Linked DNA regions of Nothobranchius furzeri. The main gene of each other region encodes a partner of the protein of the gene in region 3 in a complex. Links are inferred from orthologs where the notes say so. Each region holds a gene or a part of one and is shown on either strand. Other genes may lie near its edges.

Region 1 (3,500 bases), on a different chromosome or scaffold from region 3:
TCATGTCCATGGTGTGGCGGCTGAGGAACGTCTTGGTGTCCAGAGGGACCTCGATGTTGGAAGGGTGGGGGATGGGGTCACAGATCAGAACCAGGTAGGGGAGCAGTGGCTCCATCTGCTCTGCTCGATGGTCATGAACACACATGTGACCCGAGCAGTGAAGGACCTACAGAAACACGTTTTCAAACCAAGAGGGAAACTTTAATCTTTCTGTAATTATTATTTTTTACTTTAAGTAACTTTTTTAATTTAGGAGCCCGAGATGCTCCACAGCTTCAACACTTCTTTACCTTCCATGTAGCCGACTTGACATTAACCGTGCGACCTCTGCTTGTGAGGGTGCATTTCATCCTCAGAAAGAAATTCCGTTCATTATTTGGTTCCTTGCTTTTTTTGGAGCCTGGAATCACAAAATTAAACAGATATGAATCCAGAGTGAGGCAGAGTAAGCCAGCAGTAGATTGCTCTTTTTTATTGGTCCCAACTCAACAATCTACAAACTGCCAACTGATAAAATTTGCATCAAAAGGAGACATTTGCTCTGATGCTGTGGCCTTGTGGTGAGCTAGAGGATAAAATGGAAATAGCTACCAGCAGTTAGAGCCGAGGCGGTATCAGTGAGCAAAGAAATAACAAAAAACACAGGTCCTAAATGTAAGAGTGAACCGAAGCAGAGAGAAGATTCAGCAAAACTTATCTCACTAACGAGAAGCAAAGCAAAGATCTGTTATTGATGATTAAAAGGTCGGAAGATTACTCAGCCACTGCTCAAAACCGGAGTGGATTTTTGTGTCGTTACTAAGCAGAGCTGACCACAGAGTGAGTTGGACTTTCTACCATCTGGAGCACCAACACACCCGACAGAGAGCTCTGTGTGTGCGCGTCTCGGTTTCTCTACACATTTGTACTCTTCAGTGCAACACTGCTCACCTGTTCTACAGAGGAGCATCTCTCTCAGCTCCTCCTGGTCGCAGGGATGTGTGAAGTCAAACACACTGTGGCCAGTCAGGTCAAACTGCAAAGGCAAACAAACAGAAATATACTTTTAAAACACAAATATATAAATAGAGCTACCAAGAAGTATTCATTTAAAGCTTAAAAATGTGCACTTATTTTTTAATTCCCTGCTTCAGACCCACCTGCGCCAGCCCAAGACACTTGCTGACATTCTCCGAGAGATAAATCATATCGCCGTCTTCAGACAGCACCATGAGGAAGCCCTCCAACGCCTTCAGGTAGGACCCGTTCAGCTGAACATCAAGCTCAGTTTCCCCCTCTTCCATTGGCTTATCTGGAGCATTGAGAGAGGGAGCAAGGTGGGTGATAAGCTAAAGGACAAATAACCGGTTCAAACAGCTGCAGACACAGAAAAACCACTCCTCTAGCCCCAGGTGTTTCTGCAGAGAGATTATGGCAGAATACGCAGTACCTCCTTTGTGTTTTCCACTATAGGCTACATGTAAATGAAGTGAATTACTCTGAAGTCAACAAGATAACAAATATGACAAGCATACTGCAGGTACATGGTTAACAGAGCAGTGGAATGGTTTATAATCATCTGTCGCTACAGATGCTGACCACTGCAGAGAAGGTTCCTCATGCGCAGGTAGCTGATGGTCAGCCTCATGATGGAGGCCTTGTCCAGGCTTGAGCTGGTGCTGTGGGGGAGAGGCAGCTGCTTGGCCAGCTCATAGAACACCTCCGACTCCTTCCCACGGCGGCATCTTGCTGCATCCCTTGATTTCTCCTTCCTGCGCTCCGAGCTCACCCTGCAGGAGACAGGAGGTGGATCAGCCTCATGCTGGGTTTGTTAAACGTAAAAATCCCTTTTCCCAAAACTGAAACATGTCTGCAGAGGCCAGCGCAGCTGGAGCATTCAACAGGCTGTCTCAGCCCAGCCAGTGCAATGCAAGCGTCCTATTGGCTGCTGAACAAACGAAATAGGACTCGCCCACTCAAATGACTACACAGGAAAGAGTCAGAGCTCAGCCATCCCCCCACCCCCATCCCACACACTGATTCAGACATTTTACAGTGCCATTTCGGCTAATGTGACCACCGCTGAATCAAAGCAGGGCTATTGATTCTTCAAGTGACTGAAATCACTACACTATAAAAACTTAATGAGACAAAATTGTTAGATTCAAGGTAAGAACAAGAAGGGGTGCATCAAATGGCCGCTTTCATTCAAAAAATGGTTGTGGGTTTAATATTATTTTGAATGATGTTTGCTGTTGTCTTGATTCAGAATCAAAAACAAAAGAAAAACAGACGATATTTGGAGAAGGAAGGCCTTTTGACACAACACTGGTCTCGCTCGGCGGCCATGTTTAAAATGTTCACTTGTTCACTCTTTTTATTGCTCATTGTCAATGGCGTGTCCAGTGAGTGGTCTGGAGCAGCATTTGCCACTCTTGGAATCTGACTGGCCACCCCAATGAGTTCCACTTAAATTGACATTAAGTTGTCCACAAAAAAATAAGGGTTAACCCCTAAAACAGTAGTCGACAGTATGGACTTTTAACATTAGTTTCTAGTCACAGGCCTACAGAACATTTGTGTATTATTAATTATTGTTTTCATATTGACAAAAATAGTATTCATAGTCCTGGTCCAAACTCACTCCAGTAGATGGCGGTAATGCACCAAGAAGTGGCTTGCTAACCACCTCAAAACAAGAAGTTGAAGAATAATGCAAAAATGTATTATTTTGTGAGGGGTGACAACCCCGCAGATCAAAACAAAAAGTATAACTATAGGTGCCACCCATGCATAAATTAGTGCCCCACTGGAGCCACCCATTTTAAAAGGCCTGGACACGCCACTGCAAATTGTGCCTCCATTATGTGCTTATAAAAAAATTTTTTTAAAGTCTGTGCTGTACTTCCTGTTCCACCTTATGTTGCTCAACATTGCGGTAAATAAACATAAACAAAATCGATTTAGAAAAACCGCGATGCCTCAAAAAACAGATTTCATCTCCCATTCATATGCCATAAATTTATATCACCAATCTTTGTTGCAAACTGCACCTCAGTAAGTTGAAATACATTTAGATGACATGTGAGCAGCCAGACGACCAAATGAACAGCTTAAAAACCCACAGCTATGAAATGCACACCTGATTGAAATTGATCTGGCACGCACTTACAGCACTGAATAAGGCCCTTTTGTTTTTGCCAGAAAATAGACCAGATAATGTAATTTGCAGGAGGCTAATTTTAGTTAACAGGCAGGCTGTGTTTCACACGAAAGCTTTCCATTACACACACGTGATGCACAAACCGATCCACGATAAAGCTAATTGGTCCTCTGCGGCTGGAAGATTTTCAATGCTGAGCCGAATCACCGTCCCTCGGGAAATAGGCTAGGTGCTGATTTAATCTAGCGAAAAGCATGTGGGTCAAAATTTCTATTCGGTGACATGAACACACAAACAGAAAAACACTCAGTGTTGCTGCTATTAAGTTCCATTTACAATTGGGAAGCTACAAAGTTAT
Region 2 (3,500 bases), about 42 Mb from region 3:
TGGTTGAAGGAGCGCTTGATGCTGTTGGCCATGGCCACTCTGGCAGGACTCACATCTTTGTAAGCCTGGATAAAATCGTCAATAGACCTAGAAAAATACAATAATAAATTATACAACACAAGTAAACATTTCTATTAAGATATTTTAATGAATATTTACTGCTGTTTTATATCATCACCTCTGCTTTTGCATTAGATGTGGGACGTTCTGCTGGCAGGATGGACGTTCCTCTTCAGACAAACTATCCATTGGGTAGGCTTTAGGAGGCCGTTCGTGTCGGTAAGTTATTAACGGGTCCGGAGGCCATTGCATCGAAGATAGAGGCGTGCTGGCTGGGGCCAGATTCGGGAGATTCTGCAAGTGTTTCATCATGTAGGACCTGGATCTGGTGTCCACAACCCCCTGGCCAGAGCCTCTCCTCTCCCCAGTGGCCCAAGACACCTTTGGCTGTGGGAGGAAGTGATTTTGAGGCTGGGAAGGGGAGGTCAGCGGCTGGAAGAGGCTGGTGATGTTACTGAAGCTCTGCTGCATGTTCAGGTTGCTGATGTTGCCCACAGAGCCGGCCTGAGCCACCTTCAGGGGCTCGAGTTCTGGAATGATGGGAGTCAGCTGGAAGTCCTCGCCATCCATGGGGATGTAAGGAGCCAAAGTCTCCAGGTCCAAGTCGCTCAAGTCCGCCTGGAGGAGAGGAACCAGGACAGATCGGTGGTGAATATTGTTCTCATTTTTACATGAAATGTGTTTGACATCTGTGTCAGTGAGCAACGACAGCATTATGTTAAACTATAAATGATAAAATGAGCCAGTCCAGTCAGCACACATAGGAAGACCACAAATGGAGTATATATGTGAAAACCTGACTAGTCTGCAAATATAAAACTAAACGTACTGTACATCCATTTATTATTACTGAATTAATTTGGGACAGTATGATAGAGCAGAGACTAGCTGAGAGCTCCTGGTAGGAGCACTACAAGCACAGAAATTAAATATTCAGTAAACGTTAACAAGCTGTACTGATTTTGATTCTGAAGACAAACAGAATCCTCTCCGGTGTCCAAATCGGGTCGCATGTCTTCTGAGTCAAACTGTCTCAAACATGTCAGCTCCTCCAGCCATCCAGCTAGCGGTGTCAGAGTTCGGTAGATCTTCTACAGTAACCAGATATCTGTTCTCGTCGCTGTATCCCAGAGAAAAAAACAAATCTGACCGTCTAGCAGAGGCTTCAGAAGCTACATCTGACCGATGACACATCGAGCTACAAGGCTAAAGCAGAAACATCAGAGTCGGGGGTTGTTTACACTCGCTATTTGAGCAAAACTCCTTGTGAGACATCACCAGCTGCCCAGGGCTTAGACCGGAAACCATTTTTTGTTTTTGATGCTGTAACGTAGATTAGGTTGTCACGGTAACTGGTGTAGCGGTAAACCCCGGTAAAAAAGTTGACAATAATAACCGTCTTGTTTTTTAAAAACTATATTATCTCGGTGGGTTACCGTGGCTGCTGTGTAGGCGCGGTGACCCTTACCAGCCACCGTATCATCTGCTGAAGTTGCCGGCGGCACACGCGCACTTTGTTGTTTACAACCAAAACTTTCTTGAAGCTAAAGCTGAAATAATGGCCAAAGGAGGAGACGGCAGCGCTCAGGAGGACATTTTTATCCCTCAAAGAAGACAAAGTGGGAAGTACGGGCATCTTTTAGATATTTGAAGAATGCCGAGGGACAGTTGATAGAAGACGGCCATCCTGTTTGCAGCACGTGCAGAAAAAGTGTCTGTGAAAGGCAGCAACGCTTCAAATCTCATGACACATCTGCGTGACCATCACCCACAACTCTACAGTCAACGCAAGGCAAGCTAACGTTAGCGTTTTAGCTGAAATGCGTGATCCGAGGATTTGGGTTGAGGGAGAATGCAACGAGTCGCTATATAAAGCAGCCGCAGCACCGCTACCTGCATATAAACCGTGCCGCGGACACCCCCATGTTGAAATGACGCTATGCATTACGGGGCTCCCAGGGGCAGATAAGAGTTGGTCTCTCTCCGAGAATAATTATGAATTTAACAATGATTACTGCCTGATGACATTTTCCCACATCTGCAAAGCTCACTGGAAGGACAGGGTTAGGGTTAGGTAGCTGCAACCTTTAACATTCCAGAAGTCAACTCCTCCTGGCAGCAAGCCGACTAGACTTCCTAGCCAGCTGGACCTACCAAGAACTTTCATCACAAGGGTAATCGTAGTCTCTCACCTGGCATCAGGATGGTTTTATTACTAATTTGATAACTTGTTAAACCTCATTAAACATTCAGCCAGACTCATTTTACAACTCACACATCACAATTTTCTAACATAACACAACAAGAATTAAATCATCTTATAATTCTCTGGTAGATTAAAGGAACATGGTCTGCATACATGTGAAGGTGTGAGTAAGTACTGTGTCCCACCTCAGTGCTTGCTGAGTTGTTCCCCTCTGTGTCCAGAGCAAAGAGCTTCTCAGTGAGCTCTATCCTCAGATCGCTCTCCACTGGGCCGTAGTAATCACCTGGGCTGCTGGGCTGCAAGACAACATCGGAGACAAAAGGTCTAAATGTGAGAGGAAAGACAGAACGACACAAAGACACCATTCAGAGCTAACGGCCTGCTCCATCCAATCCTCCACCCCCGATATTCTCACACACTCTGCCCACTTTCGCTGACCTCGCTGAACACAGAGAGAGCAAACACAATCGACCAGAAGCTGACTAATTAATGGTGAGACATCCTCACCGTGGAGCAACTGCTAAGGCTTGGAGTGGCGCTGCCCGGAGGACGGTTCTGCTGCATGGTGAAAGGACCGGCCTTGTTAGCCACATCTCCTGACGGAGTTTGGGCTCGAGCAGGTTTGTGGCTCTCGCTCGGCCAGGATGACGGTCCCGGAGGAGGCATGGATGAAGACGAAACCGGGGTGTACGCAGCTGGCTGTTGGGACTCCTCAAACTGAGGGCGACCTGAGAGAAATAAGTGAAAATATTTTTAATTCAATCTTTAACGCACATTTGTAAACACGAAATTCCGTTAAACAGGCAGAGAAGAAGTCAGAGGTCAAACTGACCGAAGTCCAGGGAGATGATAGTGTCTCCAGGTGTTGGAGCCAGCTGAGCCAGGTCCTCGGGCTCCTCTTTCATTGAGGTGAAGAGGGAATCTCCTGGCTCTCCATTCATGCCCACTCCCTCTGGAGTGAAGAAGCTGCTCATGTGTTGAGGCTTGAACAGTGCCTCCATCTGCTCCAAGGAGAAAATCACAGACTTCTCCTCCACGTCACTAAGGGACGGTGGAAACATGACAAGGTGGATGAAACATAGGGAAAACGTTTGTCTTTTGATCTTGGCTGAGCAGCACTCACCTGAGGACATAGTTGATGCACATGACACACTGCGGCTGAGAGTTTCGGCTGTTGTAAATGACGGTTCCCTGAGTCTCCACCCAGACATAACCCCCGCTCTTTGCCAGCATG
Region 3 (4,273 bases):
ACGCGTGTGTTGTTAGTGAACTGAAGTATTCAGCCAGCCACCTGGCCAGTGCTGCGTCACTCTGGGTCCCTGTTAATGATCCACATGTCTATCCGACTTCAGGGGGCTGTTTTCCAAATGGATCAACGTTCAGCATAGTCACTTGTGCTACTGTCCTAGAGACATAAAAATCTACTACATTTGCATGAATGGATCAGCGAATATTTGAAACTGATGATCTGGTGGAATTTTCTAGGCTACTTCTTCTTGTCTACTGAAAACATGCCCATCATGCTGTGATATGCAAATATTTTACTAAACAGCTCTTTTAACAGTCACAGTGGTTGTGCAAAAATAAAATTGTAGCCATTTGCATTGATCGTAAATGCTGCTTAAATAAGTTTCTTTGTGACGGACACAAGAAAAAGAAGTGAATTAAAACAAATACACAGTTATGTACATCATGGCCGATGACAGGGATGCTCGATTATATAAAAAAAAAATCACGGCTGTTTTGGTCAATATTGAGATCACAATTATGTACTTAATGAGTTGAACAAAACCAAGAACATTCTAACTCAGCACAGAAGGGGATTCGAACCTACAACCTCCTTACTGTGCCATAAACCGCTCCACCATAGTAAAATCGTGAAATAAAAATCATTATTGGCCTAACAGCAAGACAGACTGCCATAGATGTCATACCCATTTAGAAATATTTCAGTAACATCCTGATTTTTGCAGAAAGCAACAGGATGACTGTAAAAACCCGGCCTTCTGAGGAAAGAGACCAAAGAAAGCTATATTTGTGAGACATTAACTACATATTCATGCAGACATAGTTTAATTACCTTCTTGGGACAACTTTTTAAAACTTGACAAGATGCATGAGTTTAGGCTTTGTAAGGGACGGAAGAGACAAAAATAATCATTGATTTCCTTCATTACATTGTTTTTGTGACTGTTGGAATGAAAACACCGATCTGACAAATTGCACAGCCATAATTTAAGTTGTAATTGTAATTATGTTTAATGCAATAAGAAAATTTGGCTTTCTTTTGAATGATCCATGATATAAAAATGTGCTGTGTGCATGCAAACCTTGCATGCTGCTTTAATCCAATCAGGAGTTCATTAATTGCGTCTTACTTGTCCCTCGGTGGGAAAACTTAACATTCAGTACAGTTGAGTTCTTTTTTTAATAGCGCCTTTCATGCAAAGCTGTTGCCATTTGGATTAGTTTTACTCTGATATTTAAGAACGTGCACACTTTGATCTGACTTTATGCTAGCAAGCTTACTTGCCTCGTACATCTTGTTTTATTCTGCCAAAACACTTTTTAGATTGAGTCATTTTAAAAAGTTTAATTTAGATTGCTTAAAGCTGCACAGTGGGGAATCACAGTGGTCATGGTTGGCCTTCAGCAGCTTATTTCTGTTGGTGGGAGGCATTTCTGTGTTTTGCATCCATGTGCTGGGTGGAATAATCCACCTGACTCGGGGCATTAGCCATGCTTTCCCCTGGAGGCAGCTTACCTCCACTCATATGCATTTGCTGACTTAAAGTAGGTTTTATGTAGTGACTGATGTATTACTGAACAATAGGAGTTTCTCTGAGGGACAACACTTCTGATTGACAGTCTTCTACCTGGACATGCTGCAATACTTACCTTTGTCCTTCCATTTATAGTGTAGTTCCCCAGTTTGCCATTACAATGTCTGATTAGGTCGTCCATGCGACCCATGAGGAACTTGATCTTCTCGCAGCCGTCCTCTCCCCCCTCTATCCACGTGATTTTGTCCCCCCTGATGTCTTTAGGAGAGTCGCTCTTTTGACTGACCAGCTGTCCATCTGTGAATTTACCCTTTTTGTACAAGGCCTTGACATTCTCCAGAACGCTCAGCCCGGTCTTTTCTCCTAAAAAGTCGTTCACGACGCAGATGCCGTGCTTGTTCATGCACGGTACTATGATCTCCACGGCGAGTCTCTGAGGGGACAGGCTGGTTTGTCCGTTAGGTGTGGCGGGGCCGTTAGATCCCACCTCTCCCGCTCGATACCCGGCTGCAGGTGCTTCTGTGTCTGGGGCTGGTGGTGAAGACGGGGAGTTCGACTGATCGGGGACATTCTCCGTGCTGGTTTTATCCGGTCCCCCGTCCTCTCCCGACGGAGGAGTGTGTCCGGGTATCTGTTTGGAAATCAGGGACTTGTCCGCCACCTTACAAATGAGCTTGTGCTTCTTCCAGTCCTGTTTCTGGTGCTCCTTGCTACAGTAGAAGGAGCTTCGGCACCTTCCACACTTAAGGAGGTTCTCCATCTCCCCACAAAGTTCACAATACTGTCGGTCTCGGTCCAAATCGCTCTGCTGCTTTTCCATTACGAGAGCTGCAGCGGTTGTACTGCTCCTTTAATTTCGATCCTTCACACGCGCCCTGCTAACCGTCTACTTACTTTGGGGAAAGAGCCACTGCCTCTGTCTCGCTACGCCGAGCGAAACGGTCGAACTAAACTCAAACGCTCGCCATTTTGTCGGTCTTGTCCCGGTTCCGCATGTTCGAACGGTGAAGTAACGCCACAGTGTGCGCCCGTGGACAAGCATTCAGCCGCGGGTCGGCTCGAGGGCTTCGGGAGGCATTTCGACAGGCTAGCTGTCGGGATCGGTCTACTGCATGGCGCCGCTCTGTGTGCGTGCTGTTTGTCCGTGGCTCTCGTTGACGTCAGAGCTCAAACCCCGCCCCCGCGTTGCCTTCAGGAGTTGTGGGTCAAATGAAATACACACCAGGGCCGGGACACGTGGAGGGTATTTGACACATTTTGGTTCACTGCTGAAGTGAACTATTAAAATATATAAGTATCATTCCTTTTCGGACAGCATTCGTCTCTTTGCTATGACGTAACCGGCCTCGATGTGTACTCACAAGCTTCCTACCCTTGGATTCGGAAACATTACTTGAAATATAACAATTTATTCCTCATGAAGAAGGGTGGATTTCTGAAACACTGGAGAACCCCAGACATCGTATCTCCATGTATACACAGATGACCAACAGACTGAACATGAAACGCTTCAAAGTACAGAGAAAGCACGTTTGGAAGAAGAAGAAGAAAGTATCATTTCTATAGCGCCTCTCAAGATAAAAATCACGAGGCGCTTCACAAAAACAAAAAATAAAAAAATGTAAAAATATAAAAAAGCATTTAGAAAATGTTTAAAAATATATTTAAAATGAGCAAAAATAAGCCCATTCCTGCTACTCTGTTTAAAAAAAACAGATCTTATAATTATGAGATGCTATTGTGAGATACTATCTCATAATTTCTATTTCTGTGGCCGTTTCCAGGTTTCAGCCCTCCTCCACCTCCTTTGCCCATGGTGTCCCACAAGGCTCACATCCACATCCTGAGCTCTTTTAAAGGAATCTGCTGCCATCTTTTCGCAGATGACATTCAACTGTACATCTCCATATGGAAGCAGCAGCTGCTGCATGCTTTGTTAGTTAGACTTTGTTAGACTCAATGAAAAAATGTATGACTGGGAACTTTCTAGAGGTGAATGAAGACAAGACCGAGATCATACCTCTGTGCCCAGATAAACTTCTTCAGTGATGCTCTTGGTGAGCTTGCTTCTCACACCAAACCTGGTCAGGAATCTTGGTGTGACCTTTGACCCAGCTCTCACCGTGGTTTCTCATGTCAGTTCTCTTGTTCGCTCTTCCTTCTTCCATCTCAGAAACATTGCTAAGCCCATTCTGTCCTGATCTGATCTTGAGACTGTTCTCCTCACGCTTAATAATAATAATAATAATAATAATAATAATGCATTGAACTTATATAGCGCTTTTCTAGACACCCAAAGACGCTTTCACACACTGCTAGTGATGGTAAGCTACTTGTAGCCACAGCCGCCCTGGGGAGGCCTGACATTTGGCGCCGTCGGCCCCTCTGACCACCACTAACACAGGCAAGTTGGGTGAAGTGTCTTGCCCAAGGACACAACAGCAGGATACCCCTGGCGAGAGCTGGAATCGAGCCCATGACCCTCCGATCATGAGGCAACCCGCTCTACCACCTGAGCTACTGCTGCCCCAGCTTAGACTACTGTAACTCTCTTTTCACGTGTCTGAGCAGAACCTCCCTGAACCGTCTACAGGTGGTTCAGAACGCCTGTGCTCGGCTTCTGACCAAGTCCTCCAAACACACCCACATCACCCCGTTTCTCCTCCAGCTTCACTGGCTGCCAGTCAACTTCAGGGTTCATTTCAAGATCCTGGTTCTGGTCTATAGGGCCTTACATGGA

Evidence for each region. The genes of interacting proteins can lie anywhere in the genome.
Region 1: the proteins of egln1a (region 3) and hif1aa are in contact, whole or in part, in a crystal structure (PDB 3HQR), measured with the Homo sapiens proteins. The link is inferred for Nothobranchius furzeri from reciprocal best matches to the Homo sapiens genes EGLN1 and HIF1A. Residues at the interface, in NP_071334.1 of Homo sapiens: Gln239, Leu240, Val241, Ser242, Gln243, Lys244, Ile251, Arg252, Trp258, Lys262, Asp277, Ile280, Arg281, Ile292, Asn293, Gly294, Arg295, Thr296, Lys297, Tyr310, Val311, Arg312, His313, Val314, Asp315, Pro317, Asn318, Asp320, Arg322, Arg370; in NP_001521.1 of Homo sapiens: Leu559, Glu560, Met561, Leu562, Ala563, Pro564, Tyr565, Ile566, Pro567, Met568, Asp570, Asp571, Phe572, Gln573, Leu574.
Region 2: the proteins of egln1a (region 3) and epas1b are in contact, whole or in part, in a crystal structure (PDB 7Q5X), measured with the Homo sapiens proteins. The link is inferred for Nothobranchius furzeri from reciprocal best matches to the Homo sapiens genes EGLN1 and EPAS1. Residues at the interface, in NP_071334.1 of Homo sapiens: Gln239, Leu240, Val241, Ser242, Lys244, Ile251, Arg252, Trp258, Asp277, Ile280, Arg281, Ile292, Asn293, Gly294, Arg295, Thr296, Lys297, Tyr310, Val311, Arg312, His313, Val314, Asp315, Pro317, Asn318, Asp320, Arg322, Arg370, Trp389, Tyr390; in NP_001421.2 of Homo sapiens: Asp525, Leu526, Glu527, Thr528, Leu529, Ala530, Pro531, Tyr532, Ile533, Pro534, Met535, Asp536, Gly537, Glu538, Asp539, Phe540, Gln541, Leu542.

The regions. Positions count from the first base shown.
Region 1 is NC_091758.1:31,049,934-31,053,433, forward strand, and holds part of hif1aa (hypoxia inducible factor 1 subunit alpha a), read right to left. Parts: intron 1,770-3,500; coding exon 1,579-1,769; intron 1,292-1,578; coding exon 1,140-1,291; intron 1,016-1,139; coding exon 931-1,015; intron 401-930; coding exon 291-400; intron 167-290; coding exon 1-166.
Region 2 is NC_091752.1:43,855,479-43,858,978, reverse strand, and holds part of epas1b (endothelial PAS domain-containing protein 1b), read right to left. Parts: coding exon 3,390-3,500; intron 3,308-3,389; coding exon 3,099-3,307; intron 2,995-3,098; coding exon 2,774-2,994; intron 2,563-2,773; coding exon 2,452-2,562; intron 679-2,451; coding exon 179-678; intron 88-178; coding exon 1-87.
Region 3 is NC_091752.1:2,296,032-2,300,304, forward strand, and holds the start of egln1a (egl nine homolog 1), read right to left. Parts: upstream 2,801-4,273; 5' UTR 2,354-2,800; coding exon 1,649-2,353; intron 1-1,648. UniProt on the Homo sapiens protein: Cellular oxygen sensor that catalyzes, under normoxic conditions, the post-translational formation of 4-hydroxyproline in hypoxia-inducible factor (HIF) alpha proteins.